Linked DNA regions of Rhinolophus ferrumequinum. The protein of the gene in region 3 purifies or fractionates together with the protein of the main gene of each other region. This does not show direct contact. Links are inferred from orthologs where the notes say so. Each region holds a gene or a part of one and is shown on either strand. Other genes may lie near its edges.

Region 1 (7,769 bases), on a different chromosome or scaffold from region 3:
TCACAGCACCTGCTCACGCTCACACTCACGTGCACAGGGAGCACAGCCTTTAAAGGGCCAGGCACCTGGAGAGGAGGCAGCGGCAGGGGCAGGGGTTGGCAGGAAGGGGCCAATTTGCCAGCTGGGGCTCCTGGACCCTGGACTGGGCTGCAGCTCCGCCCCCACCTTGGGCAGAGGCAGCTGGGAGGGCCTCTTCAGGAAGCGGTTGGAGTCTCTTCACGGGCTCCTTCCTGGCGCCCCAGGAACCCCTACCTGGGCTCAGCTCACAGCTGCCCAGGGAGACGCTGCCACCTCAGGTGCAGCCCCAACTCCCTTAGCAACTCCACGCTGGAACCCCGGACATCCCCTTCCCTCCGACAGGCACCATTCTCACCCACACTCAGCCCTGCCCTGCCTCCACCGCCCTCTCCACCCCTCCCAGGAATTTCATTCCCAGACAGACACACACACAAGGACCTGTGACCAGGACCTCTGGAAGCCTCAGGGGTGTGTGGGGGCACAGGGGCGGGTCAGCTGACCTTCTGAGGCTCCCTGTAGTTGGTCCTCTCATCTACTCTAGGGCCCTGGGAAGAGTCCCTCTCACTAGGAGCAGGGCTAGGGAGCCAGAGCCAGCCCTGGGGGCCTCCCATGGGAGGCACAGCCATCAAAACTGAGCTGTGGGGGCCTCCCGCCGCCTGGCCCCCGCAGAGGCCAGCTGTCACCGGTTAGCCAGCAGCACCGCCATGCAGGGTCACCCAGCTGGCTCACAAATGCGGTCCCTCTGAGGACTGATGACCTTCACCTCCACTTTCCCAGGCCAGGCCTCACGCCCTCCCCACGCCTGCCCACCCCCACTAGACCCCACCATCCCTGCTGCCTCTGGTCCGCTCACCCGAGGTGCACAGAGCTCGCTCCTCTGAGACCACAGCCTGCCGGCTAAGCTCACAGAGACCTAGCGCTGAGGGAGGTGCGGCCACGGGGATTGGCCGCGGGGATTGGCCTCCGGGCGGGGCGGGGCGGGCCTGGGAGGGGACGACTTTCTCTTTCACTTTAGGTTCCCTTCAGCTGTGGGAGAAGGGATGAGAAGGGGTGTGACAGCTTCTGGGAGGCACGGCTCAGCCTCAGAGCCCCCACAGCCCCCAGGGCAGCGAGTCCAACTCACAGTGATCCAGCCAAGCCAGGCCACCTGCCCCGGCTGCCCCACGGGTTCTGCAGCTTGCAGGCTACCTTTATAGGGCACTGGACCCCTGAGGACGGGCCTTTCTGTGCTCAAGCCCCCATGGGCTCTGCTGGGGAATGGGAGCCATGGGGTGGAGATGGGTTAGGGCTCACACGTGTCTGTGGGACTCGAGTGTCCTTTGGGGGAAGGTACATTTCAGGGAAACCTGGTGATGGGTTTCAGAGGAAGACACTCCTGTCCACTGGAAAGGACAAGGAAGGGGTGGCTGGCTGTCAGGGGCCACTGGCTGCCACCCGCAGGCCTGCTCACCTGGCAGGTCCACAGATCACATGAACCGGCACTCCCTGAGCCCTCTGCCCTGCCAAGCCCCCTCCCCCCCACACACACCCTGTGTCAGGGACCTGCTTCTCTGTGCAGCAGCCTGCACAGTAGTCTGACCTCTGAGCTTCAACCTGACCTCCCTCCCCACCTCTACCACCCCACCCTCCTGGTATAGACTGGCCACCGTCAGCGCTCTCTGCTGCCCAAGACCCTTAGGGGCAGAGGCTACATCCCGACTCTGGTCTCCTGGGTCTTGCCCTGCCCTCTGGGGACTGAACAAACACTGACTCCCCTAGCGTCACCAGACCCCACCTCCTGTCTGGGGTTAGGGACACGTAGATGACAGGGGTCCCGGAAGTCAGACCACCTAAGATAGGAAAGGGAACAGTTGTCCCAGGAAGAGAGGCAGGCCTGAGAAAAGAGTCAGCCCTGGGGCTGGTGTCACAAACTGCAGGCTGGAGGGGGAAGGCCCCACCAGGAACAGTGAGAGTGAGGGGGTCTGCCTGGGGAGGACGGGAGAGATGTCCTCTGGACCCTGAGTACCCCCTTTTCTGTCCTCACTCCGTGGTTTCCACCCCTTGCTTATGAGACAGCTGTAGAGGGCCCTCCCTTGCACCCCATGTTGCCATAGAAACCGGGCAGCCCCAGCCAGGACCGAAGCCCAGGGTTGGCAACCTTCACTGTCCACCCTCTGCTTCCATAGTTAGGTAACCAACCCTTGGGCCATTCAGGCTGTGGACAGAGAGCACCTACTGGACGATGCTTCTGCTTCCAGACCCTCAGGTAAAATCTCCCACAAATGAAGCCGCTTTGCTCATCCACCCCCAAGAAACGCGATGAGGGTGAGGCTCAGAGTCTGGGACCGGCCACTGGCTCCCCATTCCACCTCCCCCCAGTCCCTTTCCCCTGGGGAGGTGCTTTCTGTCCTGCCGGCTTAGAGGGGCCCCAACTCGGTAGACAAAAGAGGCAGGACGGGTGGGGGCCCCCCCGAGCTCCCCTCGGAGGCGGGCTCAGCCCTGTCCCGTTGGATGAGGTCCAGACGTGGTCCCAGAGGGCCACGCTGTCCTCCGCCAGGCGATGGCGACTCAAGCCACGCACGTGTCCACACACGTCCGGCGGGGTCCCACGTGTGCCCCCCTCCGACACATACACACACACACACACACACACACACACACACACACGGCCTGGCATCTGCTCTCTGGGCTTCGACCTCAGGCTCCTACCTCGCGGGGACACGTGCGCAGGGAACGCGTCCGTCACCGCCCGGGGCCGAGCACGGCCTCCCACACCCGGGTGGCAGCGGATCCGCGCATCCGCCGACCGGGGCCCCACCGGAGCCGCCTCGTCCAGGCAGTTGTCACCTCCCCGGGCCGCCTCCGCGCCCCTCTACCCCGCAGCCGGACCGCACTCGGGTGGGCGCAGTGGAAGGGAGCGGCCAGCGGGCACTCACCGCGCTCTGCCACCGCCGCCGCGCTCGCCTCCCCGCCGCGCCGCGCCGCGCACCCCGCTGCATAGGCGCGTCGGCCCGGCGCCGCGCGCGCTCCGCCCCCGGCCCTCGGCAGCACGCGCGCTGCGGCTCCCCCTCCTGGCCACCGCGGCCACTACTCCGGGCCGGGCCGCAGCGCCGGGCCGCAGCCCGGTGCCAGCGCGCACCGTGGCCAAGCCGCGGGTCCCCAAGAGCCTGCATGGCGGGGACCCAGGGATAGTCCCATAGGGCCAGAGGGTGGCGAGGAGCGCTGGGACAATAGTGTCCTACGGGAGAAGCGTGCGCCACACAGTAGAGCTCCGAGGGAACTAGGCTGTAACAGCCAACAGGGCAGATGCATCCTTTACTTTGTGGCACGGCTCCCCTCCCTCCCAGGGAAGGTCAGGACACATGGGAGGGCCAGGGGCAAGGACAGGCCTCTGGTCTCCACCCAAAAAACAAACCAAACTGAGCTCTGAGACAGCAACCAGCACACTGCATGTTTGTTACACACAGGGAAGGCTTGAAAATGGGGGCCTCTGTGCCCCAGCCAGGGCACACCAGGGGCCAGCCCAAGGTTGGCAGGGTCTAGGCCTGGACAGGCTCTGGGGACTTTGATGCTGAAGGGCCAGTCGGGGCAAGGCCCCCAGGGGCCAGGCTTGTGCGCCGGATGCCATCCTGGTACTTATGGCGGCCGAGCTCCAAGACAGCCCGCACCTCTTCGGCCACGTCACGCCGGTCGCTCTGCTCCAGGGCCTGCATGAGGAGCCCCACAGCCCCTGGCTGCCCAGCCTGGCGTTCAGCCCAAGAGAAGAGCATATGTCGGATCTGCCCATCCAGGTCATCCCTGGGGAGAGAGGGGCACGGTGACTGAGGGGCCCAGCCCAGGGCCACCACACCCAGGGTCCTGCTCGCCCACCTGCCCTGGACGGAACTTCAGCCAGCCTCAGGTAGGGCACCCCAGCAGCTGGGCTGGCAGCGGGAGGCTCTAAGGAACCCACCGGAACTCATGCCGGATGCGCTGCAGCTCCTGGTAGGACACGCCCAGGTGCAGGGCCACCGTCGGCCAGTCTGGGCCCAGGCGCCCGGCCACACTCAGCAGGTTGCTCTGGGTCAGGAAGCCGGTGTCAGCATCACCCAGGTTCAGAGGTGCCAGGGAGAGGTTAGCCCTGTGGCCCAGCCCCTCAGAGCGGGGCAGTTTCTGTGGGAAGGATGGCTGCAATGAGTGCTGACCCCCCTCACACACACACACACACACACACACACACACACACACACACCCTGCTCCCCGTCCCCGGGCCCACCGGCAACTTGATGGGCAGAGTGGCCATCCACAGGGCATCCACACCCTTCCTGTGCCGGGCGGCTGGCACCTCCTCAGGCACCTCGCCAGGCACTGCTCCCCGATAAAAGGACACCTGGGACAAGATGAGACAAGGTTCAGGGCTTCAGCCTCTGCCCAAGCAGCCCGGGGCCCCGACCCCGTGTGCCCACCTGGCCCCGCACGGCCTGGGCCTGCCGGTCTAGGGTGGTGGTCACATACACCTCCTTCACGTTCTTCAGGTGTGAGTAGAACACGAAGCACACTCTGCCCTCCACGCAGTCGGGGCGGTCTGGGGGCGGGAGGGGGGCTCAGCAGGGGGCCTGGCGCAGACCGGGTCCCCCCTCCAGGGGTGGGGGCCTACCGGCATCCACGTCGATGCCCCTCTCGAAGGCAGCAAAGAATCTCTCGCCCTCAAACATCTCCACCGTGTCGGAGGGCTCGGGGCCGCGGTACCGTTCCAGCAGGCGTCGCAATGTGGCATCCACCTGGGGGCACCCTCGGGCTAAGAGCCGACACTGGGCACCCCCAGCCCACCCCCCAGCCCACGGCCCGGTCCCACCTTGCTGCGCGGCAGGCACTGCAGTAGGATCTGCTCGGGATCCCGGCGTCTCTGCAGTGCGATGAGGTTGACATGGTGGAGACGCAGCCGCCGCCAGGCCTTGCCCGCCAGGTGCCCCACACAGGCCTTGGTGGTGTACCACAGCCAGTACCTGGGGGCTGGGGATGAGGGGGGGGCTGAACACGCGGGGCTGGGCGGGGAGGGGCTGAGGAGGCTGGAGGGGACACTGACCAGGAGAAGTGTGTGACCTGGAAGCGAGCATACAGGTGGGTGAGCTCGAGTGCCACCTGAGCCGTGATGTCATCCCAGGTGGCTGCAGGAGGGGCACGGTACAGCAGGTGCAGGCGGGAGCGGTCCAGGCTCAGGCCTAGGGATGGAGGGGATGGCTGAGGCCTCCAGAGCAGGGGCTCCCCTTCCGAGCACTGCCCCCACCCCATGGCCACGAGTGTCCTATGCCACATGGCCACCTCTTACCTGTGATGCCAGGGGGCAGAGGCAGCTGCACGGTGATTGGCTGGAGGAAGCTGGAAGGGCCACTCTGGGAGAGGCACAGCAGGGGGCTCACAGCTGCCTCCGGCTCCTGCAACAGGGCCTGCAGCTCCCTGGCCGCCATGCGCACCACCTGGGCAGACAGGCCGCCTGAACTCATGCTTTTGTGCCGGAGAACCACTCGCCACCCTTGGCAGCTGCCCTGCCCTTACTTGCATGCGGACGTGACGAGGCTCCTCTGTGGCTCCAGGGGGAAATGTGACCTTGACCCCAGGATGCCCCGAGGAGAACAGCAATGTCCCCTCTGGTGGCACCAGGCAAGCGTTGGACACAGGGCGTGAAACCACAAGGAACCATGAGAAGTGGGGTACCTGGCAGTGAGCCCAGAGCCGCTGGGCACGGCGGAAGGGTCAGAGGGAACAGGGTCAGAGGGTCCGGACACAGCTCCTGCCCAGGGCTCCTTCCTAGGCCACCCTGCACCTCCCTCACCTTCGGCGCCTCTTCCTCCAGGTGGGTCTCCAGGTCACTCCAGCTGTCGTCACTCAGAGTCCTCACCACCACCTCACGGCAACGCCGGGACCGTGGGGGCACGAAGAGCAGCCACAGGCCTACCTCCTGCCACACAAGGGTGCTGTGAGTGCCAGGGCCATGCCTGGCCCTCCTCACCTGCCCCCAACCTGCCCTGGCCGTGCCTGCTGGAAGGCCACCCCATGGGGCTGCAGTTCCAAGACACCACTGAGCAAGGAGTCATGGGGACCCAGGGGGACGAGGCGCGGCTCCGGCTGCCACTGTCGATAGCGGATGGTGACAGAGGTAGTAGTGGCACCAGCAGGAAACTGCAGGCGGACACCGCAGGCCAGGGTCACAGAGCAGCCTTGGGGGGTCACGGGGAAGCTGAGTGAGGACAGGATGGGCATCAGGTCAGACACACAGGGGCATGTATGTCTGAGCCTGGCACCCCTGGGGACTCAAGGAGAAGACCCCCGAGCACGTGGACAGGGTGGCTAGCTGTTCCTCCAGCCCCACCCCTCCCCCACCCCATACCTGTCCAAATCTGAGGTCAGGAACAGTCTGGGCATTTCTGGGACCATGGGTGTCCCTGTGGAAGGACAGAGAGATTGTTAGGATAGTGACGGTACCTGTGTCCTGTTGGTGATCTGCCCTCCCCAGCGACAAGCCTACCTGGGGGACTGTGGGAGTCTGGCAGGGCCTTGCCCAGAGGGTTCCCCTGCAGGCGCACAAAGGGGGCGTCCAGCAGCTCTGGGGGCACGTCCCGAAGCTGGTTGTCCCTCAGGTCCAGCCGGGTGAGCAGTGGGAGGCGGGCCAGGCCGGCGGGCACAGAGGCCAGAAGGTTGCTATGCAGAACAAGGAGGCGCAAGGAGCGCAGCCCCGCTGTGGGCCGGCGCTGGCTTAGGGCAAGCGGAGGGCCAGTCAGTGCCACCCAGGCCCAGAGCGCCAGGGTGCTAGGGCCTCCCTGGAAGCCCTTGTGGTTGTTGCCCCATGGCCAGACACAGAGTTCGGCTAGCCTGCACAGGGAGCCTCCGAGGCCAGGGCAGTGGGGGTGGGGGGCAAACAAGACCACTGGGAGGAGCAAAGGCTCAAAGGTGGGCCCCGTGGAGGACGAGGGCCCACATGAGAGCAGAGGCTGGACACTGGCTGAGGGACTCCCCAGCAGGCCCTGTGCGCCAAGGAGGGAGATACTGGTACTCACCAAGGGAATCCGGGAGGCTCTGCAGCCGGTTGGAGGCCAGACTGAGCTCAGCGAGGCTGCTCAGGCCTCCGATCTCGGGGGGCACACTGTCCAGGAGGTTCTCCGAGAGATCGAGGCGCTGCAGGGTGGACAGGGCCCCCAGTGCTGTGGGCAGCGCTTGCAGGCGGTTGTGGGTCACGGCAAGGAAGGTGAGGGTGGGAAGGGCCCCCAGGGCCTCAGGCAGCTCTGAGAGGTGGTTGTGAGAGAGTAGCAGGGCACCCAGGCCACGCATCCGCGGGACGCAGGCCGGCAGTGTCTCTAGGCTGTTGAAGCTCAGATCCAGGTGGGCCAAGCGTGCTAGGCCACTCAGTATGGCGGGCAGTGTGGTCAGGGAGCCCCGGAGGCAGGCACCCAAAGCATCCCGGCGTTGCCCACCTGGGAAGGGGAGGCAGATGTGGCCCAGTCCCAGTTCCTAGCTTGGCCCTGTCCCCAGAGAAAGAGCTGCGGAGGGAGGTACAAACCCGCAGTCCCACCCCACCCAGACAGAGACACATAGCTGCAGGGGATGGATCAAGGTGGCATCTGAGACCGCAGGCTCATCCCAGCTACAGCCATCACCCAGGACCCCCAGGAAAAACATGCACACTGGGTCTGCTGGGAGAACGCACTGGGCAGCTGCACATTGGGGGAGGAGGGCTGGATAACAACACATTGGGGGAGCATCACATTGGGGGAGGAGGGCTGGGCAGTGCTGTGTGG
Region 2 (7,171 bases), on a different chromosome or scaffold from region 3:
AGGTGCCCCCAAGTCTGACCTCCGGAGGAGTGGAGAGGGCAATGGGCAGCCTCAAATGTTCCCTCAGCCCAGGGCCTCGTGAGTCTGGAAAGGGTGTTCTAAGGACCCCCAGATCACTGCTATAAGTTGATCTTTACTGAGACAGCCACATAGCCTGTTAGGGCAGTGGAAAAAACCATAGCCTATCTCACCCTCGGTGCAGTGCTGGGAACAGAACAGGTGCTCAATTTATATTTATCAAACATATCTTAGGTCTGGGCCCAGGCTGCCCCTCCAAGGACTGTTCCAGACCCAAGGGAACTGTTGTGACGGGGGATGGGGCTCTATCTAATTGCTCACAGGGCTCCATTCAAGGGCTGTACAATCTAGGTCCAGAACCGTGGGTATTTGGCCTGCCAGACACCTCTGCCTGGTGGTCCAGTAGAAGTAAACAGAGCACCTTGCCCCCTAACCTACTCTCCTTGTTCAACATCCTGTATGTAGAGGGAAGGGAGACACCTCCAGCTAGTCTTTACCACCTGGTATCAAAAGGCCCTCCTCCCTCCACTCCTCACATCAAGGAGTCATTACCTGCTAAAACCTCCCCTGTGCTCCTCCATCACTGTTCTGCTCCTGGACCAGGCAGCAACCTCTAAATTGGCCTCCCTGCCTTCCTCCTTTTAATCCATTTTCCCACAGCAGCCTGTGGTATTTACAAATACAATCCGATCAATTAACATCTCATGTTAATAGATGTGAAGGTTTATAGGGCACCAGTCCATGTGCCAAGCCTGTATTTCATACCCAATGCTTCTTGCCAGGCCCCGGCATAGGGACTCCAGCGCCCCCCTCTGTCCTCAGTTTACCGCACTGCTCCTATGTTCCTGTGTGACCACAGGGGTGCCCCTTTCCAGTCCTTCTCTCCCTATGTCTGTCTCACCACTACACACAGCCAGGATGAGCTGCTCCAGCCCCTGCCACTAGCCACACGTGGCTATACTTCTTGCTTCTGCACCTGCAGCTTCCTTCCCCTTGTGCACACTTCCCCTCCGCAAATGACTGACTCTTAGTCATCCTTGAAGACTCAGCTCAGGTATCACCTCCTCCAGAACCCCTTCCTGACTACCCTCAACACTCTGGCCCCTCTTTATCGCATTACGCTCTAATCGCTGGTTTCCTGGTCAAGTCTCTTCCAGAAGACTGCTTCTGCCTGGGACATACACCCAGCTTGACACAGTGGGGGCTCAATAACCCCTCGTGGACGCCTGCGTTCATGAATGAATCACTGAGCCAGCAGGGAGAGCAGGAGGCCAGAGCATGCCGGCAGATGAATAAGGCCGTGGGCCAGCCATTCATTCTCTCATTCATCTCAAAGCCCCCCATCCGCTACAGTCATACGCGCCCAGGCGTGCGGGGGTCCGGGGGCGGGGAACGGGAAGGGGCGGGGCTCGGGAGGCTTCTCCGGAACCCAGAGGCAGAGTCCGAGCCCGGCCAAAGGGCGCGCTGGGTGCCTGGGTCCCGGAACCCCAGCCTCTCCTTGCAGTCCTCACGTTACCCGCAAGTAATCCAAGTCTCCACCAGGCCGAGCCCTGGCGTCATCGGGTCCTGGGACCCGGCACCGCCCGGGCCAAGCCGACCCTCAGCCCCAGCGATCCCCAGGCCCACGACCCCCGCCTCCCGCACGGTAGCTCTGGGCCTGGCTCGGCGCCCAGCCGCCTGCCCTTTCCCCCATCCTGCGCGCCAACAGAGGCCTCCCGGGGCCACGCGTCTGCTGCCCGCCCCGCGCCCGCGACCAGCGTACCCACCGGCTCGGCTCTTTGGGTGCGCGGGCGGGGGCCAGGCTGGGCGGCGTGGCCGGCTCTGGAGTCCGCGGCCCGGGCACGCTCTCCCCGCCCAGGGCCCGCCCGGGGCCGGGCCGCTGCCTGTCGTCATCCCAGGCTGGGCCCAGACCCGGGCGCGCGCGCGCACCCTCCCGCCCCGCCCCACCCCGCGCCGGCGGGTCCTGGCCCTGGTCCTGGCCCTGGTCCTGGCCCTGGCCCCCGTCTGCGTCCGCGGAGACTTGGTACTACACTCGGCAACCAGCTCCCGGGAAAAGGCGCGTCACAGTCTCTGTCTCTCTGTCACACACACACCGGCTTCCAGGGAAGACCCAGCCCACTCGCTGCAGCGCTGGGTGGGTGGGTGAGTGCGTCTGATAAGGTTCCTTCTCATCCTAGGACCCCTTAGCATCCCAGAGCAAACCCGACCCTACCCTGCGTGCTGGGCCAGCTCGGTTCCACGTTTGTGACTACCTCTCGCACTTCATCTCCGTCCAGTCCACACCACTGCTTTGAGCTGGCCAGTCCCAGTTCTTTGGGAATGGGGAGGCATTAACCAAGCCTGTATTACGCCACTGGAGAGCTTTACCTGTACAGGTCCTTTGACCTCAGAGCAGCCCAGTCACCTAGATGTTGTTATGCCCAGTTCATAGCCCAGCCTATTGAGGATCAGGGAGCAGAAGAAGGGGTTCAAACCCAGATTCCCCACTTTGAAAAACCCTGCTTCTAGTGGTGCTTAATAGTGGCGCTTAAAACCTTACCCCTCCCTCCCATTTACCCGTTTTGTCCAGTCTGTTCCTGTCCCACGGAGGAGCTGAAGCCCTCCCCACTGCTCACCTCTTTCCCAAGGGGTTTGCGTGAGAGAGGGCTGCTGGGCCCTGGGCACACACTGCCACCCTTCCTCCCAGTCCAGAACATCCCAGCTTACAAGCTTGCAGGGCCTGTGGGGATGAACCACACGGATGATCTCCCCGGTGGGGATCAGCTCCACTTGCAGTGCCATTCCGCCTGTGGATAGCCAGCGTGCTGAGCACCGGGGCCTCTGAGCAGAAGCCTGCCTGCCTGCCCACTGGCTCTGGCTGCTCCTGGAACCAGGAATTTAGTCTCACGCTGGGATGGTCACTTGGTTCAGCTTCAATTCTAGCCCCAGGGGATGTGTCTGGTCCAGCTCCTCAGGACACAGCTGGAGCAACCCAGGTCTGATTGGGAGGCCTCTTGGCCCAGCCGGTTGAGGCAGGAAGAGGAGGGGCTGAGGGATGGAGGAAATGCCTGTTGTCCCAGGTAACCAGAGCAGCTGATGCAGCCACCAGTGGGGGACCCTGGGCTCCAGGTCAAAGGATAGGAGGCCTCTCCCTCTGCCTACGGACTGGTGTCAGCTGGAGAGCAGGGTGATCACTCCCCAAACCAGAATGCATATCCTGCCCTAAACCAAGAGGATCCATCGGTAGGCCCTGCCCCTCCTGCAAGCCCCTCTGAGTTTGTCTGCCTTCCACAGCAGCAGGTGAGCCCCTTGAGTTTGAAAGGTCAGGGCTGCTGGGGGCAGGCCTTGTTGGGCAGAGGGGGTTCACTGGAAAGGCAAGGGCGCTGTGAGGAGCCCCGTCCCACCCTCCTCTGGAGCCTCAAACTCTTGGCGTGGGAGGTTAGTCCCTGGGTTCCTTGGCTGTGGGCAGCCTTAGCCCTGTTCAAGCCTTACTTTTCCATTAGCACCCTCAGGTGCCCCCACCCTGAATGTTCCTATTTTTCTATCTTTATTATAGTTGCTAAATCACAGCTGACACTTTCTTGGCCTGGGGCTGAGCCCTTGGGTCTCCAGCCATTCCTTATAGGAAGTGAGAAGGGGGAAGTGGATGGGAGAAAGGAACCCTCCGAAGGGAAATGCTGGCATAGGAGGGGTGGAGTCCAGTGGCCTGCGCTGGCCTTGACAACCCCTTCCGCAGGCACCTTCCCCCAAGCACCCTTCTCTTCCCTACTCACAGCTTCCCCCGCCCCGGAAAAACCAGCAAAGCTTCCTTCCTTCCTCCGGGAAGCACATCTATCCAGGGCAGGCTCATCCCCGGCAGCCACACAATGGCCCTTATCAGCCCTGGAGCCAGGCACAGAGACCCAGCACACACCAAGTCTCTCACATTTCCTGTTTCCACCCAGCGGGTCAGGGCTGGGCCCAGAGCGGCCATATCCTGACTGGAGCCAAGATGAGGGAAAGCACTCCCCCTTCCCCTTCCCGCCTCTCAATCACTGCTGGACTCACCCCTGCCAGGCTGGGAGGGGCTCTGCAACGGAGGCAGGAGTAGGAATGAGTGAAGACTGAAGAGGGAAGGAGAGAGGTGGGCGTGTAGACAAGCACACTCCACACGCAGGAGAAATGGGACCCTGGAGACAGGAGCCCTGAGACCCAGCCCCAGGTAGGTATAATAGTGTTGCTCTGGTTTTTTTTTTAACAATTGTTCTCTCACAATAATCCTGTGAATAGGTACATTATTTGTATTTTACAGACAACTGAGACTCCTGTGTTGGTAGAGATGGAGATTCCAAACCAGGTCTTGACTCAATTCCTGTGTTTCTGGTCCTGCATGACACCACTGCTGCCTGTGTAACTTCAAAAGGATCACACCATTTCTGAGCTGTGGTTTCCCTGTCTGCCAAATGAAGGGTGCTATGTGGCAGCACCCATGATGGTTATGTATGTGAGAAGGAATGAAGTGGCCAAGTGCAAGGGATGAGGGTTCCTCAGGTGGGTGTGTGTTGGGAGCAGGGATAGAGGTTACCGTGGGAACTCTGGGGTAGAGGGGGTGGGGGGCAGAGGAAAATGATGGCATTTTTGGATAGCTTAACCCAGGACCTATGCTCAAGACTCAGGCGTGAGGGGGTGGCAGCTGAGGCGGGATGGGCCAGTGAGAGCAGAGTAAGCACCTTTTCCGAGAGCTGTAGTTCTAAGCAACCCATTCTATTTAGCAGCAGAGTAAATTAAGTGCCTAGTTAAATAGGTACCGTGTTTCCCCGAAAATAAGACCTAGCCCGACCATCAGCTCTGATGCGTTTTTTGGAGCAAAAATTAATATAAGACCCGGTATTATGTTGTATTGTATTATGTTATTATATTATAAAGATCCGGTCTTATAGTAAAAGACCACCAGGTCTTACATTAATTTTTGCTCCAAAAGATGCATTAGAGCTGATGGTCCGGCTAGGTCTGATTTTCGGGGAAACACGGTAGCACGCCTCACGTGGGCCAGGAACCCAGACACTCATCCCATTGCCATCCAGGCGACACCTGCCACTCAGACACAGGAAGTCAATCTGGATCTACAGGGCGCTCGTCCTGGAGTCCAGCAAGGGCCCGTCACCATGTGCCCCCCCCATCAAGAAGGAGTCACACACAGGGTAAAAGCCATGTTTCTAATTATCCCCCCATGTTAATACACAGAACACAGCCATGGACCACCGGAAGCCAGGGGACAGTTCTTGGAACTTAGAACTGGAGTGTTCTTTAGTCTTGGGTTGTAGGATTGGCATGAGTCACAGAGTAGGCTCTCTGAGGTGTCTTCTCCTGGGAAAAGGGCCACCGAGCCACTAGTGGCTGCAGGCAAGTGGTAGGAGCAGGGACAGCCACATCCATAAAGCACCTGGAGAATGCTCTCTAAAGACCCCCAGAACCAGATTCTCCAAAACGTCTTAATTCCAGCTCTCTTGTCTACCTGCCCCCACTTCTAGGTCCCGGAGTCGTCTAGAGGGAGGGCAGGTTTCTGGCTAGTGACTACAGGCAAGGATAGAGCCAGATGAGGTTCACTGAGCAAAGACCACCCTGGAAAAGTCTGTGGCCATAGCTCTTCTACCACCTGCCAACCCTTCACAAAAGGGCAGGTTGGGGGCATGGAGCCTGACCCACCAGCAGAAGTGAACCTGGGTCCAATGCTCTGCTCAGGCCCAGGAATTTCCTAGGTCAGATCCAGGGGGGGCAGGAGGGTGCAGGCAGAAGGACAGTCATAAACCTGCCCACAACCCCTACTGAAAAGCCTGGGTAGAGGGGCCCCTCCATCCTGCCCACTTGGTCCTACTGCTTCTGCTCAAATCAAGGATCCCAGACCCTCTGCCCATTCCTTAGGGAGCTAGGCAATGAGATGCCAAGATTCCTGGAGGCCAGTGCTGTTTGCACCAACCAGTCTATGGAGCCTGTACAAGTGTGAGTGTCTCCGCCTCCCAGGCAGCCTGAGGCCCAGGATGGCGTGATAAGAATGCAGGCCTGTGCCAGATGGGGCATGTGCCTGGCAGGCCTGCTTGGGCAGGGCTGGAAGTGTGTGTGTGGGGAAAACCAAGAAATGAAATGCAGGCTGCAGGGTCCTTGCCACATCCGGTGGACTGTCCCCAGGTCTTCACTGTTGACAAACTAGCTGGTTTCACTTACGTCTCAGCAACAAAACCTGTATTTAAGTGGCCAATTCCAGAGATTTGGACTGGAGAGAGCACAGGAGTGTGGCCACAGCTCCCCCTGGGAGGTGAAGGATACTTGCTGCCTCCTCAAGGGGCTGGGCTGGGCCCCTAGTGCTCCTGACAGTGGTGAGCAGAGCTGGCTGCCAGCTTTGGCCTCCGCCCTGGATTCCCTCTCATCCCAGCTCAGATCTGTGGTTGGGCTTCACCCAGTGGGTCCTTCTCCAAGAAGGCGTGAGGCTGGATCTGCAGGGATAGAACAGGCAGTGAGTGGAAGGGGAAAGAGCACATTTTCCTCCGCTGTTCCATCACTCCCATTCCCCAACCGCTGCGGCTCCAGGTACGGGTTGACTCCTCGGCCCTTGGCCTCGGGGAACGGATGAGGGGTTCTGCGTACCCTTCTCCTTACCCCACCAGCATGCCTTACCTTGAAGGGATTGCTTATCCCCACCACAGAACGTAGATTGTTGCTATAATAACACAGGAGAAACTGGTCCTCAGTCTCAGGGATATCACTAATGTTGATGTACACCTGGAGGGGAGGATGGACAGGAATGGGGTCAGTTCCAAGCCTGGGTCCCACCCAGTTCTCAGCCACAAGTTATCCAGCCTTCTGTGTGCTCCAGAAGACAGAGGGGCGCTCAGGCAAGCCCAGCTGCTGGAGTTGTGGAATACCTAGGTTAGGAAGGGGGGCAGGTACCTGGTTCAGCTTGTCACTGAAGAAGACCTCGTTGTCCTTGACCCAGACATAGCACACGTAGTCATTAATGTGGCGAAACCCCACCTGTGGGAGGGGGGAGCGGGTGGTCAGTGGTCTGGGAGTACCCAGGACCTACGGCACATCCTAAGGAGAGGACAGTCTCATTTCTAGGTCGGGCCATCATGCTGTATGCCCCCTCCCTTTCACTGCCAGCCCCTAGGTGGGCAAGGACCCTGGGATGAGTAAGGGT
Region 3 (6,867 bases):
GTTTCACTTTATTATATTATAATTAGTCTGTAAACTCAAGGATCTAATTAATGCACAATGGGATAGAGTGTAGGGATTAAAGAAAAATTTAGTCACCTTCATTTATTTCACTCCCTTCAAAGGTTGAACTGTGTGGGTAAAAAGAAGTAATGTAAAATTGAAGAGCACAGAGAAATGGTCAGATGACTGGAAGGAAAAAAACAAAGTATTAGGACAGCTAGCCTAACTACCAACCTCTAAAGATTGTCATTTATTAAGGAGCATGAATAAAATATGAAAAGACCTTGAAAATAAAAATTCAGAGTCTGGACTATCATGTTAAGTGAATTCTGGAAACAAACCTTAATATTTACTTTCGATTACGAGTCTTTCATTTAACACTTTCAGCTAATTCAACATGTAAAGAACAAAAGGATATCTATATTAATTACACCAGTAATATGAAGAAATTTGAAGGAAAAAAAACACTTTCTTTTAAGTGAAGTATTAAAATATCAGTGAGAGACCCATCTGTACAGCCCTTTGATAAGACCAATGATAATTAAAATTGATAATGTCACTGTACCTAGCATAACCACAATATTGGTACCAAACCACTGTGTTTTTACTTTCACGAAAAGCATGTGAATTCAGCAGGTAGTGGATTGTAAGATGGAAAGAAATTTTGAACGTATGTGCTGGCTCTATCAGTAGCTCTGTGATTCTAAATGAGCTACTTACTCTGAGGAAAAAATATACAGTGAGATTTCTGACAGGTCAGTGAGATTCCAGTGAGAATGAAATGATGTAACATACATAATGCCCTTGGCAAACTAATACACATATGGTGCTGAAACGAATAATTCTATTCCATTAAATGACTAAATCAGAAGACAAGTCCTTAGTTTCTTCCATACTTTGTCTCTGGTAACCCCTGGGCAAGGATATTGAGTGATATTCATAACTACTCCAGACAAACATGCCCAAGCTTGCACAGTTCTGAAAATGAAGAATTAGGTGGTGAGTATGTTCCAAGCTCCTTGGGTTCTGACATCTAGCACTGCCCTCTTTGGATCCTGCAGATCAAAGCCCACTCAGGGTCCAATTGTTCTGAGTGGCACCCAGCAGGGGTGACTCTACCAAGCATAGAATCCAAGGATGCTGTCAGACAAGGACTTTTGAACACCCGAGGCAAGTAAGCAGGGACGATGTGGATGGAAAGCACAGTGGACCAGTGCTAAAAAGTGACTCATATTTCATGGGCAAAATTCAGACTTTGGGTGCTAAAAAGGACAGTGTCTTTATCATGCTTCCATCTTTTCGGTTTTGTATGCTAACAACCGGAAAATCAAGTCAGATGGGAAATACTTCAGTTGAAAAAAATAAAAGTAACCATTTATCCCAGATATAAATATCCTCATATAAAACAGGCTAAGTATATGGTTCACCCAGATTAGACACAGCTGATACAGAGATAATCATAAAGGTAAAGGTAGATAGACACAGATTTAGAGATCCAAATAACTCTTACATCTGTCTAGTAGGTATTAAAACATTGGCTTTCTGACTGCACCTCAGTGGAGTTCAAAGTTCAATTATCTTTCCCTTCAGGACCTTACAGACAAATGACAAAACTGATTTCAGTTCTCTAAATCTCAAAACCTACAAAAGAAGTTAACACGTTAGGCAGTAATGCTGTTTTGACTGTAAATCATCCTTAATTATCTTGTTAGGCCTCCTTTTTCGATATATCGAATGTATTTAGCAAATTTATGGGTTTCCTGTGGTGAAGACTCTAAGTTTCACTTCTAGATTCACATGATATGAAAAAGGTTGAAAATATCGACTTATAGGGGAATCATAAATCACTTTCTTTAGCTAATACAAGATATACTACAACTAAAGAAGGCTAGAATCTATCTTCAAATTAAAAAAAAAAACCTAACCCTATGAAAGTTTGTAAGTTACTTCATTTTATTCATTGATTATTAATTTTATTACTGTTAATTATTCCCCTTTCGCAAACTATTCACAATGGTGTCATCTCTAGGGCATGCTGTACATTCGGAAGATTCTTAGAACAATTTGAGTTAAACACTGATGAACTTAAGTAGCCAATAACAGAACTCAACTTCACTCCATTATTATTCCCCTTACCACCATCCATATTCAGTCAATTGTATAAAGTTACTTCTTAAAGACAATTAGGGAGCACACAGTGGACCCTTTTACACCAGTTATCTTTTGACAATGATTTGACAACGCTTCCATCTTAAAATCACAGTCATTGATATGTCAAGCCAAATCTCAGAACTAACCCAGAGCTCTGGGCATATAACATTGACATAAAAGTATTTCCAAAGAAAAGGGGAAATGGGAGAAATGAAAACAACTCCTTTACCTGCTGCACACTAGCCACCCTCATATACGAGTCCAAGACGAACAGCAGAGGCACGTGGATATTTTTGCCTTGAAATAACTTGGAGGCTGGAAAAGAAGGGGGTGGGGGAAAAGAAGCCAAGTCACGGTTCACAGCACCCGTTAAGTATGAAAAAGGGGGAGAGAGCAAAAGAAGTGAGCGCAATACCTTCCGAGAATTCTCAGCTCCTTTTTGCCCTAAGGAGTAGAGTTTGTGGCTTCCCAAGGGTCCACGTTTGCGCAAAGTGTAGGGGAGACAGTTTGCAAAAGAGGCGGGGGGAGGGAGTGTAATAAAGGAACAGTTTCCTCGCAAATGATTACCGTGGTCAGCGTAGGTGAACAGCAGCATGTCCTCCAGAATTTGGACCAGTGTCTCTATCTGTTTTCCTTCCTGGACATTGTTCAGCCTGACTATCAACTTCTTCAAAGTTTCTTCGTCCTCCTCCTCGCACCCCTGACAGCTGCCACTGGCCATGATGGACCCTGCTCCCAACAGGCCGCCCCTCCCGCACCAAGGCCGTCTGCTCAGGGAAGGGGCAGCGGCGCGGGTCACTGCTCCCGAGGAGAGCACGGCTCACAGCCGGCAGCCCGTGCTACCCGCCCGCCCCATCCGCACCCACGCCCGCCTGTTTATGAGGAAGGCGGCGGCTCCCCACCCGGCGCTGTCCTGCCAGCCCTGAGCCCTCCTCCTCTGCTTCCTCTTGCCCAACCCAGGCCCAAAAAATGAGCTCAGGGGCCTGAGAGAGGCTCGCCAGGGCAAGGCGCTGTGCAGAACCTTAGCGGGCAGCAGGGACGCAGCTTGAGCGGGGCCTGGCCGAGGTGACCGTGACCGTGATCCCCGGGCGGGCCCCGACAGACCGGATCCCACCCGCCGGGGCGGTCCGGCCGGGAATCGTGCAAGAAGAAACCGACTCAGGGGACTCGGCGGACTCCCCAGGCCCGGAGCCCAGCAGCGGCTGGAGGAGGAGTGCAATCTGCAACCTAGCCGGTCACCCGCTGCGAGCCGCCGGCCTGAGCGCCCTCAGTCCCGCAGAAGGTCTGGAAACTAGGAAGAGGAAAAATGAAAGCCGCCTCCTATCTCCAGATCTAAGAATAGAAATCTGGGCGTTGGGAAAAGAGGACACCGCCCAGTTGGCCCCTTTTTGGAAAACATTCTCTTTATAGAGTTCCCCCTATGGGGAGATGAGTAATTTCCCCTCAAGGATGGAAAGAGATTTTTGTAATCAAAGTACGGCTATCTAAATACTTTTCTATGATTGTTGTGGCCGTTTGTAAAGGAGGAAATAATTTTTTTTCTTTATTAATTATCTGAAGCTCTGTTGGCCAAAAGGCCACCAAATAAACTTTTGAAAATTTGAGTTTGCACTCAGTAGGATCCTGATAATTGGGGCACAAGAGAAACACAGGGTAAATTGAAAGGAAAAGGTGAAACCAGAAAAGGTGAAAGACAGCAATCAAGGCATTGTTCTCTTGGCATTCAAAATTACTTATGATTATGAGCATCTATAAACCTAACGTTAAAAAAACAAAAAACAGTACCAAAGTAATGTGTTTTTCACAAAGAGAAATCTACCAGGAAACACTGGAGACAAGGCTAAACAAAGACCATCTACTGCCTTTAGATGATTTGTGCTGGGCGTCATTGACAAAGGAGAGGACTGAACTGAAAGTTTTAATATTTCACAATTTTGAATGGTTTGTTTTCAATTCTGTTACCTCATCCTGAGGACAATTCTGAAATGGATAAGACAGCCACTTATCCTTCTTTTACTAACAGGGAAATTGAGATTTAGAGCTGATAAGAGAAGAGCGTTGTTGGACTCACCGATAGGAAGTTGAGGGCCATCACTTAAACCCAGGTAGGTCTCCTAAAGCCCAGTTATAGGATCTTTGCACTTTACCATTTTAATCAAGATGAGCTAGGCTTCCTTAATACACTAGATTAGTAAAATTGCAGATTCAAATTCAACCTGAATGTTGTGAATGTGCTTTGTTGTCATAAAGACTTTTTGTCTTTTATAGACAAATGCTGAAATATTTGCAGTTGGAATGACAGAATGGTTAGGATTTGCTTCAAAGGAATCCAGTGGTGGGGAACAGTGTGAAATGGGAGGACGTAGAGATGAGACAATACCAACTTTCGAATTGATGATTGTCAAAGACACGCAATGACTTCATGTGGTCTATAGTACTATTTCTTCTGTGTAAGATTTCCCATAATGAAAACAAAACAAAAAACTCTCAACTTTGTCATCTTTATCATACCTGCAGTATGTCCTTTCCTAACTGGTTTCTGAACATGTTTCAACTTCGGACTAAACCAATCAGTATCTCAAGCATTCCTAAGGATTCTCCATTTCATGCTTTCCTTCCCATTCCCCTGCATCAGTTTCTCCTTCCCAGTCTACTGGATTATTATCTTGCAAAATATCAAAACCTAGCTTCCTTCCCAAGAAAACTAAATAAAAAGGTGTGTCTTCTTTTCCTCAATTCCTTCCTCCATCTATTGCCTAGTTATTGCCTACTCTATGTTAGCCAGAATAGCGGTCGGCGATGTGGGAACATGAATTCCCTGCTGGGAGTATTCTCCCACAGGACTGCAGAGGTAGGGCAAAGTACCCTTTTAGCTTTCACAAATGCTTAATTGATTAACTAAAATCCAAGACTTATTAACTCTTCAGATAATTAACATGACTGAAAAGGAAGGCTAACAAGCACAAATTCATGATAGAGGTAGTGTTCAGTGGAGAATAAAATGGTGTCGGAACATTTGGCCAACTTCCTGAGAAGAAAAAAGTAAAATGGACATTGATAATTACAGCAGACACCAAAACAAATTCCAGATGGATTAAAAAGTTAAATGAAAATAACTTTTAAAAGAACATATATAGATTAATAGTTTGGTATGAGGAAACAGAATGCCCTGTGCACTTTGCTATAGCGGAAAAAAAAAGAAGGAAAGGGAAAAACCATAGCTTTCAAATGTAGAACTAACCATGAGAGAGTGACTGCGCTTCTCCAGTGTGTGTTACTTCTTCATACTTCTCACTCAAGTGCATTATGTAAACATCCTGGGTGAACGTAAAGCCGTTTTCCTCAGCATTCAGCAATGATTATGTAGAGCAGGAAGGATTTCTTGCCACAGTTAGGTGGGTACACAGGAAATAAAAGGAGACAAAATTTAGTGAGCACCTCAGAATCCTACTTTATGCAAGACATTTTACATGTATAATTTGTTTAACCTCAACAACCCTAAGAGGCAGCTATTATTCCTATTTTTCAAGAAATAGTGTTAGAGAAGTTATAAATTACCTAAGAGTCGGAGCTGAGATTCAAACACATAACTGTATCACTCAGACAATTCTCATCAGGAAGGACTGGGCCATGTAAAGGCATCACTTTGTGGAGACAGAAAGAGAAAGCACCCAACGATGTGGCAAGTCTGAGGCCCAGATCAATTGCAGTGGTTACTAGAATTTGCTTTGGTTAAGAGCATAATGAAACTTCAGATAAGAGTCTCTTTAACTCATGACTTAAAAACAACAACATGAGAAGTCTTGTTCTAAAAACTGAGAACTACACATGGATTCCTACACAGTTAATTTGCACATCATAAAATGCAATCCACATTTTGTTGGCCACACCAGACTGGGGATCCATGGAGACTCACAGCCAACACAGCAGTTCTCAGGAGCTGTCAGCTCCTGCTCTGGGCCAACGTCAGGCCCTCATGTTCTTCCAAACATGCCTGAAGTTCCCAGGATGTATATCACATGTGCTTCCTCTCTCCCTACCCCCCAAAGTATTCTTTGGCTACCGAGTAGAAACTAGCTTTATTTTTTTTCTGCTCTGCATTGATTAGATTATCAGCCCCATGATACTCCATAAGTTTTTCTCACTACTTTATCCTTAGAGTTTCGACAACTTGTGAATTCATGCAGATAGTCAATAAATATTTGTGAATGGGGGATTGCCCATGTTTCTGCCACAGCAAAAGCAAGGTGACTACTGCTGACTAAATGACTGAAGGCATTGCTGCCTAAACCAGAGAGACCACCTCCAGTCCCTCCCAAGCAGCAGGCCGGTCCTTTTATTGTGGCCAAATTCTGCTGACACCAAAGTTGTTGATGCCCTCTGTATGCAATAACTGCCCCCAAAATGATGGTACTGAGATAGTGATTTTAGCTTTTATTAACCTGTTTTCTGCAGTCTTCTTGTTTTATGCCTCAGGTTAAAGGACAATCTACATGACATATACTGTGCTGTTCTCAGAAACACTTCACCTCTGAATTTTGTCCTACGATCTTTAAAATAAACCTGCCTCCATAGTTCCTTTTTCCTCTTAGAATACCCATTCTTAAGCTTTTTAAAAAGATCTTTATTAAAATATAGCTAACACACAATATTATATTAGTTTCAGATGTACACCATAGTTATTCAACAGTTACATACCTAAAGAAGTGATCACTA
Region 4 (7,823 bases), about 6.5 Mb from region 3:
CCCTCTCCATAACACAACATACACCAACACATTTCCTGATCAAACTTGCATCTCTTCTCAAAGTCCCTATTTCTGTAAAGAGCACCATTACCGTTTCATTTTCCTAGTTCTTCAGGTTCCAAAGTTTAAGGGTTAATTTTGACTCTTTCCTTTTTACCTCATGTCCAACCAATCACCACTGGAATTCTTCCTTCAGATGGTCTTTTCTATTATCTCTTTCTATCCATTCCCACTGTAATTACTATGGTCTGACACCTTCTGCTTAGATTATTGCAATAACCTCCTTATTGGTCCCCTTATCACATGTCTCTTTCCCTATTCCACTTACCTGTCAGATTAATTTTATGAATATGCTGTTCCCTTCCCTTTTTCCTTTTTTTTCCTAAAATTATAAAGGCTTCACACTGTCTATTGACTCAAGCCCAAACCCCTTCAGACTGGAGTTCAAAATGCTTTAACTAGCTCCACTCTCCCCATAAAACACATTACTCATAATTCCTTTGTATGCCCAAGTCAATTTCTTTGCTAATATTATTTTCCCTATTTAAAGTACAATGGTATCAGATGATTATTTTTAATTCACTTTTCTTTCTCCTTTTTATTTTCATTTTCCTTTGTGGGAATATCTTTATGAACTCATGGGTTTATGTTGTTAAAAGTTTTATTATAAAAATTGCATAAATACAAAAATGCATAAAACACAACTTTACAGCATAACAAATAATTATTAAGTGAACATTCAGCTTTTATATCCCTTTGCCTCCCTTCTCCCTATCAAAATCAACTTGGGAAATTATCTGAATTTTAATGTAATTTAAAAAAATATGTCCTCTCGGAGATTTTTAAATAAATATAAGATTTACTTCTATTATGGAATTGAAGGAACCATATTAAGGATTTGGGATCTTCATCTTAAAACTAACAGGCAGCCATTAATCTGATTTATGCAGTAGAGTGACATAATCTATTACATTATATTATATATACAAGATCACTCTGGCTGTTGTGTGGAGACTGGACTGGGCAGGGGTAGAAGTGAATGTAGAGGAAATATAAGGGGACACTGAGTTTGTCCAGACAAGAGATGATGTACTTACTAGAGTAGAGGCAGTAGAAATGGAGAGAAAAGAATAAGATTTGAGACACATTTAGGAGGTAGACTTGACAGGACATAGTGACTGAGTCTATGGTGGTCAGAAAGGAAGGGGAGATGTCAAGAATAATTCTCATTTCGGATGTAAGAAACCAGGTGTATGCTGCTCCATTTACTGAGCAAAAGAACCTTGTAGGAGGTGCATGTTTGCACCTACTGAAGACAACTCGTTCAATTTGGGATACCTGTGAGAAATCCAGCCAGAGATTGAAAGTTTATGATATAATCTGGATCTAAGAAGAGATGTCAACAAGTCATTAGCATACAGAAAGGATCTGCAGCCTTCGGAATGAGTGCACTTACTATCCACTAGGAGTGGATGAAATCGCATAGAATCAAATGAGGAAAAGGTCTAGGACTGATCCTTGAGGAACTTCAACATGTGAGGATTAGGAGAGGAGAAAGAAACAGCAGAGACTGAGAAAAAAACAAAAAATGTAGAAAAGAAACCTAGAAAATGTAGAGTTTTTGAGGCCAAGGGAAGAAAGTGTCTCAAGAAATAGGTAATAGGGGGGTGGGAGGGAGGTAGACAAAGGTAAAGGGGATCAAATATATGGGGGTGAAAGGGGATTTGACTTTGGGTGGAAAACACAATGCAATATACAGATGATGTATTATACAAATGTACATTTGAAACATAATTATATTAACCAATGTACTCCAATAAATTCAGTAAAATTAAAAAAAAAATTTCCAAAGTGAAAAAAAGAGAGATAATAGTCAATTGTGACAAAGCTTTCACAGGTCAAAAAGAACTAAAAAGTATCCAGTGGATTTAGCAACAAACATGGAAGCCATTTGGTTTTAAAAATGGTAGGAGCAGAATCCAGACTGGAATGGATTTAGGGATAAATAGGAGGTGAAGAAGTAGGAAAAAAGTGTTAGACACCTCTCTTGTTTCCCACATAAGTTATGATCCTCCCTCATACACACACAAACACATGCATTCTCAAACCTATATACATGTACTTGTTTTATTTCTTTAATTAGATTGGAAGAGTGTGGTGGAAAGGAGACCATGTTACTACCTCTGAATTCTCATAGCATATAGAATGGTCCAGGGCTTACTGTGGACACTTAGTACATGCTTATTGTATTAAAAAAATGTAAAATACTTTATTAAATACTTTTAAATTACTAATCATGATAATAATGAAAATAATGAAATTAAACAGAGAAGCTGTTTAATTCAACAAACATGTATATAACCTCTACTGTATGCTAGGCACTTTGCCAGGGGCGAGGAGTCACATTTTCATGGAGAAGAGGCGTAGACACACAAATAAATAATTTAAATTTCACAATATTATGAAGGAAAAAATGTTTTATGCTAATCTTACTGTGTACGAGAATGAATCCATTAGTAGAATATTTATTCATGTACACTAATATAAGTTAAAGAAATTGGCAGTAAAAATGAGAAATGAACTAGTAAAAACATTTTTTTTTTGGCCTCCCATAATTTGCATACTATTAAATCAGATGAAGAACAAAAAGATTAGTTATTTTCCCTGCTCTCCCATTTATATATTTAAGATTATCAGTGCTCAAATAGTCTATTTCTGACCTAGATCTTATTGTTACTTATGCCCAAGGGGAGAAAAAAAATCCTCATTTACATAAGGAACAGAATGGCTCTGAGATAGAATTACAAAGAAGAATCAACTACATGAACCCTTCTCTCTTTGATTTAATTCTCAGTGTAAATGGCATAAGGAACTGAGGCTATTGGAGAAATGACATATTTCTTTTATACTGTAAAGAAAATAAAATTCAAGACTACCCTTCATTTCCAAAATGAGATTTGTACACTTTATCAAGGTCCAGCAGTGTCTGATTTATTTTATTATTAAAATTTTGAAAGAAGTATTTTCAATGAGCTACTTATTTAATCCTTACACTCCCCCATGGCATTTCATTCTTATTTTTGTTAAATGGACTTCTGGATTCAGAAAGAAGTATTCAAGTTATCCTTAATTTTCCTGTCTTTTTACTGAAATATACTTTTGTTTGCTAAAGAAAGATAAGATGATGTTGAAGATTATTTTTCCTATGAAATATGCAAGAAGTGAATCATTTGTGTATTGTTTTTTTTCCCCCGAGGGAAGACTCTACTGCAGGAAATTTGAACAAGTAAAGCAGAGCTGTGGATAGCCGGCTAGAAAAATCCACGGCCACCATTGTCACACCACAACCTGCAGCAGCTGTCTCAAGTCCATCCCTCCCACGCCCGGCTCTGCCTGTCAACCCAGCAGGAATGAATGCGCTCTGCGGAGCACTTCAAAAGGTGCTGCAGACCCTGAAAATCTGTCACTGAAAACCGAAGGGAAAATACAAATTTTCAACTTTGTGGCCATAACAAACCTTTTAATCTTTTAAAATTCATTAGCAACGTCAGGTGGTACCCAGTTCAGAGTCTTACTCTGCATAGCCCTTCCTTGTTGAAAATGGAGCCTTTCAAAGTAGCAAAAGAATGTTACTGCAATCCATTTCCTAGGGGGTGAAAGCAAAGCCTTTTTGTCCCAAGAGGCAATTGAGCAACCACCAGTCTCTAGTTGAATAGCCAGCGTGTGAGGCTGGCTGCAATTCCCACAGTTAGAAGCCTAATCTCGGAGGAGGAGATTTACCAAATTCAGATAAGAACTACATAAAAAAGAAATGCAGTTATTGAGCTGACATCACAGACTGGTCTGTGCGTGGAGGCAACATTCCAAAATAGTCTTCTTTTTACATTGTGCAGCTCTCCTCCTTTTTAATTTGGTGTCTCAGTTATTTTTTTCATTCCAGGAAAGAGAACAATGCAGAATATAACCGCATGCACAGGTAGTATTAGCTTCTGAACTCAATTCTTTCTCTTTATATTTTCTCAGTTCTATATCAGGAAAAAAATGATTCATTTTAAGGGAAAATACACTACACAAATTACTATTACATAGACTTCTGGTAAAGGAATATTTCTAGTAAAATTATTTACAGTATGTTAATTAGAGCGTAATTATTGCCACGTTAGAACTACTTGAGTGCTTCCATATTTAGTATGGTTATTCTTTCCATCTTCTGTTTTTGTTTGGCTATTTGGGAAGGGGTACAAAAGAAGATCTGAAAATAAAACTTGAACCTGAGAAACCATTTTGGATGACTCTACTATTAAACTTTTTAAAAACTAAAACAAACACATTTACCCAAGCCATTTGAAGCATCATTCCCGTCTTCTCTCCTACTTTATGTTTAAAGCAATTATCGATGTTGACTCCTCACGGAATGTGGTAGAGTTTAGCATACACTTTGAGGGAGAGACTGGAGCAATTTTCCATTAAATATTTCATCTGAACATAAATTCTGCGACTAAGAGTTGGGAAAAACCTTACATTGGTGATTTTAGTTGTAGTTTGATGATAAAATCATCCCAGCCTCTGTTCTCTTTCTTCCCTTTTGCACCCCCTCCTCAGCCCCACCCCATAATGGATGCTCCGCTGACTGTTTTCGCTCAGTCTCTTTGTCTGAAGGATGCAAACAGTCTATGGATGCTAGGGAAAAAGGGGTGGGGGAGAGATTACCTCATCCCATGTCGCTTGCACCAATCACCACTCTTCTGTCGTGGCTTCTCTGGGCAGATTGAGGGGTCTGGACCAACAGGAAAAGGCCCCAGCCCATCCCCATGGTGACCGAGTTGTATATAGGGAGCCGCATCCACCCATGTGCCGCAGGTTCTCTTACATCGACCGCCTAAGAGTCGCGCTGTAAGAAGCAACAACCTTTTCCTCCCAGCCATCCACCCGGCAGCCGCAAAGCAGCAACCATGGTAAGAAAGAATATGTTCTCTCTGGTTCTTTGTGGCCATTGGGTGGGGTCAGCCCCCCACGGTTTGCTTGGAAAATCTTAAGCTCTTTTCCTTTACAACTTCTTTAGGTCAGGGTAGGTCGCCTTACGCTTTGTTGGAGAGGTTAAGCTTTGTGTGCCCCAAATCCTTGAGCCTGGCCGCTGCCGCAGTGCAGGGTGCAAGCAAGAGCCCGGCAAAAATTGCGCCGAGGGCGCGGCAGAACCCTGGGGAAGAACAAAGGCGGCGTGGAGGCGGTTGTTATCCCGCGCCTTCAGAGGCGCAAGCAGCCCGTCTGTCGGTGACGAGAGGGTCGGGAGCAGGGAAAGGGGATCGCGGCGTCTCCTGCACACAGTGTGCGTGTGAATCGGAGGCTCTTTTCTTCCTCGCGCTGTTCCCCTGGGGCAGGGAGAGGAGGCGTCGCCCCAGAAGACCCGGGGTCTGTGGGTTTAGCTGGGAGGAGTGGGGAGAGGACGACGGCTGAGACAAAGCGGAGCCTTGGGTTAGTTTAAAAAAAAAGTTCCCTTGCCGGTTCGTTGGCATTTTAGAAAGATACCCGCGTATTAACGGGAAAAAAGTGGTTGGTTTCTGTTGGAGCCAGCGGCAGCCGGCGTCAGGGCGGCGCAGGGGCGGAGTTGTTTGTCTCTGGCTTCTCCGGCCTTGGAGCCATTGGGCGGGGTTCGCTCTCGCTAACTCTCTTCTGTCAGGAGGAGACTATTCAAGTCTTTCATCGTTGTAGAACTGTAGGCCTTACAAGGCTTTTCATTCACTGCTAAAACTTAGATGGAATGTTTTTTCTTGAGAAGCAAAATCACAATTCACTTGACAAGTCCTTTAAGGTCAGGACCGGGGCTACGCAGACCTGGCGGACTTGATTGGGTGTTTGTCTGTCTTGGCCACATGTTCAGTGAGAAAGACACTTTGTGAACCAGGGGACCCTAACGCGCAGGACCCAGGGAAACGCCCCGCCCCCCCACATATCAGTGAATAGACAATGGATAGACAATGCAAGTTGTAGCCATAAAGACCATAGAGTAGAAAATATCTATTGAATGTGATGAGTATGAACATTCTGTGGTGGGTAGAGAATCGAACGAATGAAAATACGTACTATTTTGTTTTAAATAAATATTTCATTATCCTTTCACTGGACTTTCTTGTTTATTTGGTAGCGTCTCATGTGATAGTTTGTTTTCAATTTAGGAACTGATGTTTTAAAGATACTCATAATTTTTCACTTTTCTACAGTGGAGAAAATTCTGGAGAAATTTTTAAAAAGTAATGAAATTAATGCAGACAAAGAAGAATTATACTCTGTGTCCAGCTGTCTTTTGTTCGAGCGAATTTCAGTAATTCATTTCAATTTAGGCGTATGGTTCCAGCCTGGCTCAGAGGAGGGAAACTGGCAGAATGGCACAATGAGATCATGTGGGTAGTTTCTGGAAATAGAGCTTGCTCTGTTAAATAATGTAGCAGACAGCACAGGCTAGCACCAGGCACAGCAAATACAGCAATGCAGCAGTGCAAGGAGTCAGCCCTTGCTTAGCTTCCAACCCCCTAGTACAGATGGGTTCTGCAGATAGACTGCAAAAGGGTGTGGCTTCTAGCCTCAGCTGCAATACAGATGTCCATATGGAAATACCCAGTCATATTTAGAAGAAATTCTCATCTGTATTTAAAGGGGAAGGAGGTAGTAATATTGATTCCAATTAATAATTGAATTAAACTTCATTCTACAGAATCTGTGTTTTGAATATTTTTAAATATGAAAAATCTTCTATTCAAGCATGGCCATGGGAACAATAGACTTGCACTCTGCGCTGTACCGTGCCACATTTTTCAGGCCACGCCCACCTGCAGCTTTTGTAGCAGGTGCTTTTCCTTATTGTGTTAGGGATATGACCTCAAATAAATTTGAAGAATACCTGTATATAACTAGAAACATTGATAGAAATCTACTGAAAATTCAAAATGATAACAACCTAATTTTACAATTTTTCTCTTTTCTTTCCCACAGCGTGAGTGCATCTCCATCCACGTTGGCCAGGCTGGTGTCCAGATCGGCAATGCCTGCTGGGAGCTCTACTGCCTGGAACATGGCATCCAGCCCGATGGCCAGATGCCAAGTGACAAGACCATTGGAGGAGGAGATGACTCCTTCAACACCTTCTTCAGTGAGACAGGCGCTGGCAAGCACGTGCCCAGGGCAGTGTTTGTAGACCTGGAACCCACGGTCATTGGTGAGTTGACCTCCGTAACCCAAGTGAGATCCCAGGGGTCTGGGACAGGATGTGTGTCCTGGGGGCTCTGTGGATGCCCTGGGGTTGGGCAGCTTGTGCGGGTTGTTAGTGATGGGTGGCCGCTTTGTTTCCCTTTTCCAGATGAAGTTCGCACTGGCACCTACCGCCAGCTCTTCCACCCCGAGCAGCTCATCACAGGCAAGGAAGATGCTGCCAATAACTACGCGCGGGGGCACTACACCATTGGCAAGGAGATCATTGACCTCGTCTTGGACCGGATTCGGAAGCTGGTGAGTACCAGTTTGAAATATACTTAAAATGGGGTGAGGTGATTCATTGCAAGTTTAGTGAAGAGACCAAACTATAGCATTCCTTCTTTGGTGCATGCCCAAATGTGAGATACACTGCTCACTGTATTAATTGAAAAGTATCCGATGTTGAAGAATTACATTTTCTTTTTACTTCCTTCACAGGCCGACCAGTGCACAGGTCTTCAGGGCTTCCTGGTTTTCCACAGCTTTGGTGGGGGAACTGGTTCTGGGTTCACCTCCCTGCTGATGGAACGTCTCTCTGTCGATTATGGCAAGAAATCCAAGCTGGAGTTCTCCATTTA

Evidence for each region.
Region 1: the proteins of LRRK2 (region 3) and SLC25A22 purify together in Homo sapiens (co-immunoprecipitation; 3 studies listed by IntAct, with this or other methods). This does not show direct contact. The link is inferred for Rhinolophus ferrumequinum from reciprocal best matches to the Homo sapiens genes LRRK2 and SLC25A22.
Region 2: the proteins of LRRK2 (region 3) and MYO1C purify together in Homo sapiens (affinity purification with mass spectrometry; 3 studies listed by BioGRID and IntAct, with this or other methods). This does not show direct contact. The link is inferred for Rhinolophus ferrumequinum from reciprocal best matches to the Homo sapiens genes LRRK2 and MYO1C.
Region 4: the proteins of LRRK2 (region 3) and TUBA1A purify together in Homo sapiens (affinity purification with western blotting; 4 studies listed by BioGRID and IntAct, with this or other methods). This does not show direct contact. The link is inferred for Rhinolophus ferrumequinum from reciprocal best matches to the Homo sapiens genes LRRK2 and TUBA1A.

What each region holds. Positions count from the first base shown.
Region 1 is NC_046294.1:475,793-483,561, forward strand, and holds the start of SLC25A22 (mitochondrial glutamate carrier 1), read right to left. Parts: upstream 3,012-7,769; 5' UTR 2,934-3,011; exon of another isoform or gene 2,707-2,933; intron 1,025-2,706; exon of another isoform or gene 872-1,024; intron 53-871; exon of another isoform or gene 1-52. Other genes in the region: PIDD1 (p53-induced death domain-containing protein 1), read right to left, coding at 3,537-3,795, 3,950-4,149, 4,253-4,366, 4,443-4,561, 4,634-4,757, 4,832-4,982, 5,063-5,198, 5,306-5,453 and 6 more. UniProt on the Homo sapiens protein: Mitochondrial glutamate/H(+) symporter. Responsible for the transport of glutamate from the cytosol into the mitochondrial matrix with the concomitant import of a proton. Plays a role in the control of glucose-stimulated insulin secretion.
Region 2 is NC_046304.1:16,397,328-16,404,498, reverse strand, and holds the start of MYO1C (unconventional myosin-Ic), read right to left. Parts: upstream 3,008-7,171; 5' UTR 2,800-3,007; coding exon 2,725-2,799; intron 1,923-2,724; exon of another isoform or gene 1,785-1,922; intron 1-1,784. Other genes in the region: INPP5K (inositol polyphosphate 5-phosphatase K), read right to left, coding at 6,408-6,467, 6,649-6,753, 6,922-7,005.
Region 3 is NC_046293.1:43,684,489-43,691,355, reverse strand, and holds the start of LRRK2 (leucine-rich repeat serine/threonine-protein kinase 2), read right to left. Parts: upstream 3,006-6,867; 5' UTR 2,873-3,005; coding exon 2,719-2,872; intron 2,467-2,718; coding exon 2,381-2,466; intron 1-2,380. UniProt on the Homo sapiens protein: Serine/threonine-protein kinase which phosphorylates a broad range of proteins involved in multiple processes such as neuronal plasticity, innate immunity, autophagy, and vesicle trafficking.
Region 4 is NC_046293.1:50,213,387-50,221,209, reverse strand, and holds the start of TUBA1A (tubulin alpha-1A chain), read left to right. Parts: upstream 1-4,812; 5' UTR 4,813-4,952; coding exon 4,953-4,955; intron 4,956-6,987; coding exon 6,988-7,210; intron 7,211-7,351; coding exon 7,352-7,500; intron 7,501-7,683; coding exon 7,684-7,823. UniProt on the Homo sapiens protein: Tubulin is the major constituent of microtubules, a cylinder consisting of laterally associated linear protofilaments composed of alpha- and beta-tubulin heterodimers.